2 linked regions of the Drosophila melanogaster genome follow. The protein of the gene in region 2 binds, or shares a complex with, the protein of the main gene of each other region. Each region holds a gene or a part of one and is shown on either strand. Other genes may lie near its edges.

Region 1 (4,215 bases), on a different chromosome or scaffold from region 2:
TATATGCAGAAAGGATGTTGATTTAAGCCAGTATCTTGCATCGAAGTGAAGGAGTCAGCTACGAACATGTAAAGTATATATATTATTGATCAATGTTAAATGTTCTTCTATCCACAAAATAATCTCTCAGTGTTAAAGTTATCCGCATGAAACTTTCCCATTGCAAAAAGTATAAAAGTCGGTACGGACCATATAATACATAAATGATTGCTGAAGGAATATGCGGAGCACTAGAAAGTATAGAAAATAAATCATAATTTCTTAGTTCATAAAAGGTTTTAATTCGGTATACATTAGGTATTTTTCAATAAGCTTTCAGTCAATAATTCCCAGCACTCGAGCCTTGCTGAGAAAATCTGTGCGCTGCACATAGGAACCGGACATGGTACGACTTCCTGTGTATGCCTCTCGACCATGGAGCACTCTCCAGTTATCGAAAAGAACAATGCTGCCGGGACATAGCTTGAGAGCCCACTGCTGTTGCTTATCCCTGACGATTAGCAAAAGCTGGCGAAGACTGTCATAGAACTCGGCCATTTCGGCTTGAGGGATGGTATTAAACACGGCGCGATCATATACATTTAGTCTGAGTTGAACAAATTCCTGAGTCAGTGGATCCACCTGTATAATGGGGGCAGTGTGGTAGTGGTGCTCCCCTTTTTCGATGTACTCTCCAGGAACTTGGACACTGCACAGTACATCATAAGCGGCGGGATACCGGCGTTTCAGTTCGTGAACCACATGCAGACCATCAACAAAGAAATTTTCGCCACCCGATCCCGAGTGCTCAATGCAATGTAGAGCCTGTAGTCCGGCTGCATCGCAGAAATAGGTATTATCCGTATGGGAACCCAGGTAAAGTTTGGTATAAGCGGTGTCCGCGTGATCGGGGTTATCGCTAAAAGTCCACATTTCGCCAAAGAACGTTTTCATAAGGGGGAAAACTCGTCGCAGAGCCAATTCTGTCATATTCGCGGTGGGAGCCACATCATCGATAAAGACAATGCCATAACGCACCAGAGATTCAACCAGGGATCTGACTTCGTTATCACTGGAAACCAGCTGGGGCAATGGGAATCGTAAGTGCCGTTCGTTTTGCAAGATAATGCTACGATTCCATGGTGTCAGATTAGTGGACTTTGATCGCCGACCTATCAACCTCTCCAGCTGTGAGTCGAAGATAAAGTCCAGGTCATAGTTCGACTTGTGAGCATCACTCCCTAAAATGGCAGGCCAATAAAATCGAAGCTAGGTGCATTTTACATCAATTTTTTCTTACACTGCACTTGTAGATTCATCCCGTCGTATTTGACATCTAGTGGCATTATATCAGCTGGTAGATCTAAGACATCGTATCGCCTCTGATTTGTTTCGAAATTTAGACACTCCACACATCGACAATGATCACGGAGCCAAAACTCATTGATTTCTATTGATTGGCTGGTTTTCGGGTGCTTCAAAAGCAACATGTTAATGCCAATAGAACAACCGACGGACTAGAGCAGTGAAAGTGAACTAACAGCTCAAAGTTTGATTAAGTTTCAGCTCGGTTTTAATTGTACTGTTATCAGTAGGAGAGCGATTACTTTCATGCTCAAGTCAGAGATAAGAACTTATTTGTTTACGGAATAACTATAAGATTAATAAATTTATTGAATTTAAAGACAATATGTAATTATTAAGAACAACTCATGAAAGTAAAAAAATTTATAATTTAATCAAGATTGATTGAATGGTATGTTTTTGTTGCAAAGTTATCTTAGTGAATTGCTACTCAAGTTGTTGTATTTTTTATTAAAAAATCATTACTTTAAAGAAAATATAAATATTAATTTCAAATATCTTTTATTGAAAGGGATTTTTTCCCATCTCAACAGGCCAAGTAAAATTCAAATGGAAAAACTCTCTCTAAAACTAGAGATCTCTAAGTTTTTAATTCATTTTGTACCGGTTGTGTGGGAAATCATAAAAAATGAAGACTTTCGTTACTTCCTGGGCCGATGAGGTGGATGCGGACTATGTGGATGGACTGCCGCCTTCTAATGAGTACATTAAGGGCGACTTCAAGTACGTGACGGAGTATAAGTTCAACGATGATGGCAAGAAGGTGAAAGTGGTGCGAACCTTCAAGATCGAGAAGCAGATTGTTCCGAAGGCTGTGGCTCGTCGTCGCAACTGGGTTAAGTTTGGGGATTCGCGATCGGACAAGCCCGGACCCAATTCCCAGACGACAATGGCCTCCGAGGAGATCTTTATGCAATTCATCGGCTCCAAAGATTTCGACCAGACCCACGAAACCCAACTTGATCCCGGCAAGAACATCGCCAAGTGCCGCATTTGCAATGGCGAACACTGGAGTGTCAATTGTCCCTACAAGGGCACCTCGATGGATAGCAAAACCGTGATGGAAACCAAGGCCAATGCCGCTGCAGCTGCCGCTATAAGTGATCCCAGCAAGACCGGAAAATATGTACCACCCTTCATGAAGGACGGCGGAGGCATATCTGGCAGCAAAAATTGGGGACGGGGTCGGGATCGGGACGATTCGTCGGCAGTTCGCATCTCAAACCTATCCGAATCCATGACCGAGACTGATCTCGAGGAGCTGGTAAAGAAAATCGGACCACACACCAAGATGTATTTGGCGCGCGAAAAAAACAGCGGCCTCTGCAAGGGATTCGCCTACGTGCACTTCAAGTTCCGCCAGGATGCAGCTGCCGCCATTGAGGTTCTTAATGGCCACGGCTACGACCACTTGATCCTCTGCGTCGAGTGGTCCAAGCCTCAGCCGTAATGGCTATAGCCTTGTGTATTCGCTTCTCTGCTTATTCGAGAACGGAAATGAGCTGCGGTGGCAGTGAAATCAAAATAAAATTCTGGTACACCCTGCAAAATATGCGACCACTTTTATTTTTAATTTGCACACATTCGATAATTACAGAGAATATATTAATAATAATATAAAATCTATTTATTAATGTTTCGTAGTAGATTTTTTCATCTTTCAGTTGAGCAAAGGATATGAATTGAGATAGATATGAAAATTGTTAAAAACAGTCTGGTTCATTTGGGACCACTCAATTTTCGAGTTGATATACCCTTGGACATCCAAGGTGGATGCTTTTTTTAAGTGCATAAAAGAGAAAGCTCGCCTTGAGCGAACTAAAGCCGATAATGCTCCGTTTTAAATGCGATTTTTTCGCCGTGCTCCGCAGCCGTACAAAGGTGAAAGCCACTTAAATGGAAGCCAACGTGGTGCCGGATGATGATGGCACGGCGTTCCCGGCAAGAGCTGAGAAATGCCACAAGACGCTGGCCGGACCGAATGAACATTAATAATTAAATATAAGAGCGGACTTATGCGCACGATACTTGGAGCGGAGCCCCTCAGAACGGGACGCCAACTACGCGACCATGACGTTGAACCGGGAATGAGTGGTCGGTGGATAGTGTTCGCGGGAAAGTCCCGGCTTAGATACACATTTTGAATGAGGGGCGGATCAAAGCCAGGCACAAAAGAAATTTATTTCCATTGTTGTTGCTGTTGCGGTGGTATGGGATGGGTAGCAGCTAAAGCAGAGTCTAAAACAAATTACTGAATAATTTATAAATTAACTTTTTCTGCGGCGCGCTCATTCGTTCGTCCCCGGCCTTTGTTTGAGCGGCAGAATGAATAGGTGGAAGGCGAATGAATGGGTGGCCAGGTGGGCGGCTTGACAGGTTAGTTAGCATTGTGGGGGGGGGGGGGGGTAGTTGGGGGTATGAGGCGCCCTGGTAAGGAGAACGCCCTCGGCCACGCATTTCTTTTTCAGTTTGCACCTTCAGGTCATGTGCGCTCACCGCACGCACACTCACTCACTCTTCCAGAGAAAAACAAACAGAAGATTAAAAGTCAAATGTTAAATAAGAAATACCCAGTAGTTGGAGTTAAAGTGGTATTTAAAGTAAGCAAACTCATTCCAATAACGGATATTTACAAACTTTTTTAAAAGAATCCATGTTCCTATTCAACTTTTTAATTTTTAAGTTTTACCTGTCGTAACTTCTAACAAAACACATTTGAATAGAGGCTAAATAATGTATAAAATTTAGCATAAATAATTTTAATTAGAATAAGAATTAAATAATCCAGAAAGCTATCCCATTAAGTATACGCACACAGCACATTATGTATTTTGAAATATTCTTCATACGCCCTGTGCACTACAGTGCAGT
Region 2 (5,556 bases):
TGTTACTCAGTTTATGAACCTGCAACATATGGATATGTAGAATTTGAATAATTTGGCGTGTAGCAAGGATATAGCTCTGATCAATCTATTACTACAGTTTTGATATGTTTAAAAGTAGTAGGATTTGAACGTTTCCTGGTATCCAGAAGACTTTTAGGATGTGAGCGTTTTAGGAGTTTAGGGCGTAACAGGGGCGTGGCACGGTTTTAAAGAAAACTTACATGCTTCCTTACTCTTAATGTTTCCGACATCTCGACATTCATACGGACGGACAGGCAGGCCATTATAATTAACCCAAGGAAAGTTGTGGATTGGACATCGTGCCATGAATCATTTTAGCAATCGAGATAAGCTTGAACTTTTAAGACCAACTGGCTTTTGAATTCAGTATTCGGTTAGGCTTTGACATTTCAAGATGGTCTCGATCCATTTTTATTTGGCACTTTTGCTTCAAGCGATTTCCTTGGCGAATTCTTTCCAATTTGGTAAATAGTGGCAACTACAATACAATATACATATCTACAATTTCATCGGATCAGTGTCAGTGTTAAATATATACTTTGGCAGCTCACGGATCTATTTTTGGTCTCAACAATAATTAATACCTTATAATTACAAAATTGGAACTTCATTGGGTTGATTTCGCTACACAAAACTATAGTCTTACCAGGAAAATGCAATCTTTAATAGGATTTCATACAGTGTTACAAATGCTATTTTCGGCCATTTTGAGCTCCATTAATTGGTCAATTTTTGTTACCCCCCTTAGCAAAATTCAATTTTTGCCGACTAGACGAGATTTGCATCCCACTGAGCAAATGTGAACCTCTTATGAAGATTCTACATCCCCGGAACATGACAAACGATCAAAAATCACAGTACCGGAACAAACTATGCAACATTAATCCTTTTGCCCACGAGCTAGTGCACATGGTTTTTACCTGCTGCCCGATGGTTGCAGGGGATAAACTACCAGATAGCAGGGTCTGCGGACAGAGTCCTCCTTCGTCATATATCGTAGGCGGCATGGAGGCACAGTCCAACCAGTTTCCCTGGACAGTCCTGCTGGGTTACGAAGCCTACACAGCAAAGCAGCGACCGTCTCCCATGTGTGCGGGCTCCTTGATCGCCAGTCGCTATGTGCTGACGGCAGCCCATTGTTTGAATGTGAATGACTTCTACGTGGCACGTGTGCGCCTGGGCGAGCATGACACCGAGAACGATCCCGACTACACCTGGCTGCCGAATGGAGCCAAGATATGGGCTCCAGCGCACGTGGACATCGATGTGGATCTGAGGGTTCCGCACGAGCAGTACTACACGAGAAATGGAAGACACTACAACGACATTGCTCTGTTGCGTCTGAAGAGTCGGGTGAAGTAAGTAGTGTGCTCTTTGGGGTTCCCTCTTTTCACATTTTCCCATCGATGTCCTCTCTTTCAGATACACTCTTCAGATCAGACCCATTTGCATTTGGCCTGGCATTGAATTGTCAACTTCCTCCTTCAAAAACTTCCCTTTTCAAATTGCCGGCTGGGGCGATTCGGGTCTGCAGCAAAAAAGCACCGTACTTCGCCAAGGCACCATCAGTGGAATGAGTCCGGATGAATGCTTGAATCGGTATCCAACACTGCTCGTCGATAAGGACATCCAGATATGTGCCATGGGATGGGATGGCACCGACACCGGACTGGGAGATTCCGGTAGCCCGCTGATGGCTTCGGTGGGCAGGGGTGCTGATCAATTTTATTACCTAGCCGGAATAACGTCCTACGGAGGGGGACCCTCCAGTTACGGATATGGGCCAGCGGTTTACACGAAAACTTCCTCATATTATGAGTGGATAAAGAAGAAAATCAATGATATCGCTGAAGATGAACGTAAAATGAAATACAAATCTGTAAGAATACCAATTTAATTTAACGTTATTAAAATGATACTTTTTATGCATGCAGAAATGGATGTTGTTCTTTGTTAACAAAATCGCCAAAACAGTCAAGTAAAGAAAGTACACAATTATCTTTAAAACCGTTCTTGGGACAAAAAGCCACATTTAACATGATTATGTTAAAAACAGATGTAACCATTGAGAATTGCAGACGTTTGACATAATTCACATTTTGCAAACAAATCCAGATCTTAACTAGACCAATTCTAACTCCAATAAGGATGACTTAGCCTCTCAATCGAAAGAATTCCTCGACTATAAGATAGCCTTAGTCAGCAATTGGGGAGTTCGAGGTATATAACGACACAGCTAGTTCTTCTTATCAAGAACATGCTTATGTATGTATATACTCTCTACTATATATAATTTATCGAGTCGAATCAATTTTCCTTATAACTCTAAGAGTAAGTTTCTTAGAACACCACGAAGAGGGAGATTTATCACGAATTTTTTTTGAAAAAAACTTGTAGGGTAACTCAAATCTTTAAAAACTTAAAGATTTCTTAACAAAGTTGACAAATTTGTGTTTGAAAATAAAATAAGCAATCTTACAATCAAGAAAGGAAAAAAATGAAAAATGAAATATTGTAGGGTAACAAATTTCAAATTGTCGATAACTTGATATCACCTTGGCCGCACTACGAATATTCGATGGCAACAGACTATCGGCGACGTTACCCACGCATTTTCCGCTAGTCGCGCCTTGGGCACACTACAGATCCACAGAAATTTGGTTTTGGAAAATTCCTGAAATCGCTGCCGAGGCTGGAAACAAGTCGATCCCAGCACCATCCCATCCAGAAGCACAAATCCCGCAAGCAAATAGGCAACCATTAACATGGCCGACGATTGGGGTAAGTTGCGATTGGCCTGGGCGGAAGAGTGGGCGGTGCGTCATCTGCACGGCGGACAATAAACGTGGTCTCCGTCGTTGTTGTTGTTGTTGCTGCTGCTATTGCTGTTGTTGTTGGAGTGCCGTGCAACCAGCCTTGATGAGTATTTTTAGCCACTGTGCCAACTAACCGTTTGAAATCATTGTTATTCACCATGTTCCTGGAACTCATTCTGTTACCTGGCAGAATCCGCAGCAGACAGCGAGGTGGTCATCCGGCCGACTGCCGCCGCCAGCGTAAACAAGTGGGAGGGCGAGGACGAGGATGAGGACATCAAGGTGCGACTAACGAAATCCAAGTGAGATCGAAAGCAGTGCCGCATTCAAACCAACTATCCAAGTGCCCAACAACAAATGCCATGGGCCAAAACTTGTTTTTCTGCACTCGGTTTCACTTTCGTTTCGCTGTACACGTGTGCACTTTTGCAGCAGACTGATCGAATCATTTGTTTATTTGCTGCCCACAGGACAGCTGGGAGGATGAGGAGGAAAAAAAGGACGAGGAGAAGCCTACGAAAACAGAAGCACCAGCCAAACCGAAGCCAAATAAGGCGCTAAAAGCCAAACTGGAACAGCAGGCGGTGAGATAAGGCTCAAAAGCATTTCTCAATCATTGGCTATATTGTTATCATCTGTTATTAACAGCTCCTAGAGGAGGAAGCGGAGGCAAAACGTTTGGCCAACCTATCGCCTGCAGAAAAGTTGGCTGAGAAGCTGCGATTGCAAAAAATCCAGGAGGCCTCTGATCTCAAGCATGCCCAGGAAGCGTTCGGTGTGACGAGTACGTGCGGAGGTCTTGACGCCTTCAACCCCGAGACCAAGGAGGAGTTCAAGGAATTTGGCGCAACGCTCAGCTGGAAGGTGGGCCAATTCCGCGAGTCGGAGCACTTCCCCCAATTTGTTGAGGATCTGGTGCGCAGCCTATGCGTGAATCGTGAGTGATTAGCTGGCTGACAATTAAAGACGGCTTATCTGATTTGATTTCGCACCTTATCTAGTGAGCGCTGCTGACATCAAAAAGGTCAAGATGAACGTGGAAATCTTGCACTCGGAAAAGCTGAAGCTGGAAAAGGCCAATGCTAAAAAGCCCGCTGGAAAGGGCAAGGGCAAGGTCACTCTCCGCACCGAAAACGACGTGAGTGTTTCAATCGCCGCCGTTCGAGATCAACGAATGAACTTATTTAATCCGCTCTTTTGCAGGACATTGACGGTTACCAAAAGTACGGAAATGACTTCACCGAAGACTATGACGACTTCATGTGAATAGGATCTATAAATGTAGCCCGCATATATCTAATTATTGAATGCATAGTTGCTTGTTGAAGAGTTCTTCTTGTTAGAGATGCTGCGCAGGAATAAGAGTCCTTTGTTAAATATAAAATGGCAGAACCTATATAAATATGTAAATATATATTTATATAACCATACATAACACAAAACGAGTTACATAGTCAAGTCAGGCAATCAAGAAACCTCAACGAACACGCAAATCCAACTCCAAACCGAAAGAATATTTAGGCAACTGACTTATGGCGACAGCACATGTATGTAGGTCGTATTCGGAACGGCTTCTTGTGAAATTCATTTTTGTATAAAGAATAAAACTACAGATCGATATTAAACGAAAACAAAGAAATCTTGCTTATTGTGCTGTATGGGTGGGTGTGTGGTACGGGTGTACAAGTATGATGGTGGAACTGTTGATGATTGACAATTGAGTTAATTATAGGTAGCCGCTTTTATCTTACCATTACCATGAACTTTTCAAAGGAACCATAATTTTTAATTTATTTAAAACGATCACAATGCGCGCCGTAATTTGAAGGCGCTTCACTGTGAACGGCTTTGTTTGCATAGCCAAGAAGAAGCATCGCAAGGTGTGGTGTGTGACTTGGCTTCAAAATCATATTATTGAAGTAGTTAAAAATAAATTCAGTTGTCGAATAAGTGGATTTCGTCATAAAAGAAAGAGTGCTGACGCATTTGAAGTGCACTCTTATCCCTTTCAACTCGTCTATTAAGTATTCAATGTGTCTTCAGCCCAAGTTAGCTTAAATCTAGCTGAATAGTCAGCACTGTCGTCATTTAATGCACGTGCGGCAAATTAAAAATAGACAAGAATGAGCGACTTTAACAAATATTGCGAAGGTTTTATTAGCTATAAGCCTGCCAAGACGGCCTGATTAATCCGTACATCCTGCAGAAGCTGCGAGGGAAGCGCTTCCGGACTCGGAAGACGAGGAAGACATCGGCGATGAGGACACTTGTAGCGCACAGGATCTTGCCGCCGAATTCCAGCTGAAGTACAAGCCGCAGGACGAAGTCAGTGTGTCCTTGCAGCGTGAATATGTTCTTAGCCTGGCCGCAGATCAAGGATTCTCACGGATGGCCGCCGGACTGTCCAATTCAGCAGTGCATATCTATAATTTGGATTCGGGCGCCGGGAAACTGGAGAACTTTAGCTATCTGCCGCCCACAGATTCGCCGCAGAGCGTAAGCATCTGTGGCGTTCGTTTCCTCGACGAAGGACCACACAACATCCTGGTCGGCACCACCGATGGCTACGTGCGCCTCTACGATCTGCGGCTAAGAGGCGAACAGGCGCGGTTCAAGTACACGCAGCACCCTAATGTGCCTCCGGTGCCCAAATCGCTTTCGTGCTTCGACAGAAACGCCAACGGTCGGATTATTTGCTGCGGCACCGAACAGTTTCACA

The links.
Region 1: eIF3j (region 2) and eIF3g2 share a complex: the UniProt entries of both Drosophila melanogaster proteins name them as parts of the eukaryotic translation initiation factor 3 (eIF-3) complex.

Annotation. Positions count from the first base shown.
Region 1 is NT_033777.3:20,406,355-20,410,569, forward strand, and holds eIF3g2 (eukaryotic translation initiation factor 3 subunit g2), read left to right. Parts: upstream 1-1,910; 5' UTR 1,911-1,972; coding exon 1,973-2,794; 3' UTR 2,795-2,889; downstream 2,890-4,215. Other genes in the region: Tmlh (trimethyllysine hydroxylase), read right to left, coding at 316-1,220, 1,280-1,469. UniProt on the Drosophila melanogaster protein: RNA-binding component of the eukaryotic translation initiation factor 3 (eIF-3) complex, which is involved in protein synthesis of a specialized repertoire of mRNAs and, together with other initiation factors, stimulates binding of mRNA and methionyl-tRNAi to the 40S ribosome.
Region 2 is NT_033778.4:9,966,434-9,971,989, forward strand, and holds eIF3j (eukaryotic translation initiation factor 3 subunit j), read left to right. Parts: upstream 1-2,495; 5' UTR 2,496-2,786; coding exon 2,787-2,802; intron 2,803-3,027; coding exon 3,028-3,119; intron 3,120-3,307; coding exon 3,308-3,421; intron 3,422-3,485; coding exon 3,486-3,774; intron 3,775-3,838; coding exon 3,839-3,975; intron 3,976-4,040; coding exon 4,041-4,103; 3' UTR 4,104-4,464; downstream 4,465-5,556. Other genes in the region: CG12133 (uncharacterized protein), read left to right, coding at 832-1,379, 1,444-1,918; CG12134 (uncharacterized protein), read left to right, coding at 4,961-4,988, 5,044-5,556. UniProt on the Drosophila melanogaster protein: Component of the eukaryotic translation initiation factor 3 (eIF-3) complex, which is involved in protein synthesis of a specialized repertoire of mRNAs and, together with other initiation factors, stimulates binding of mRNA and methionyl-tRNAi to the 40S ribosome.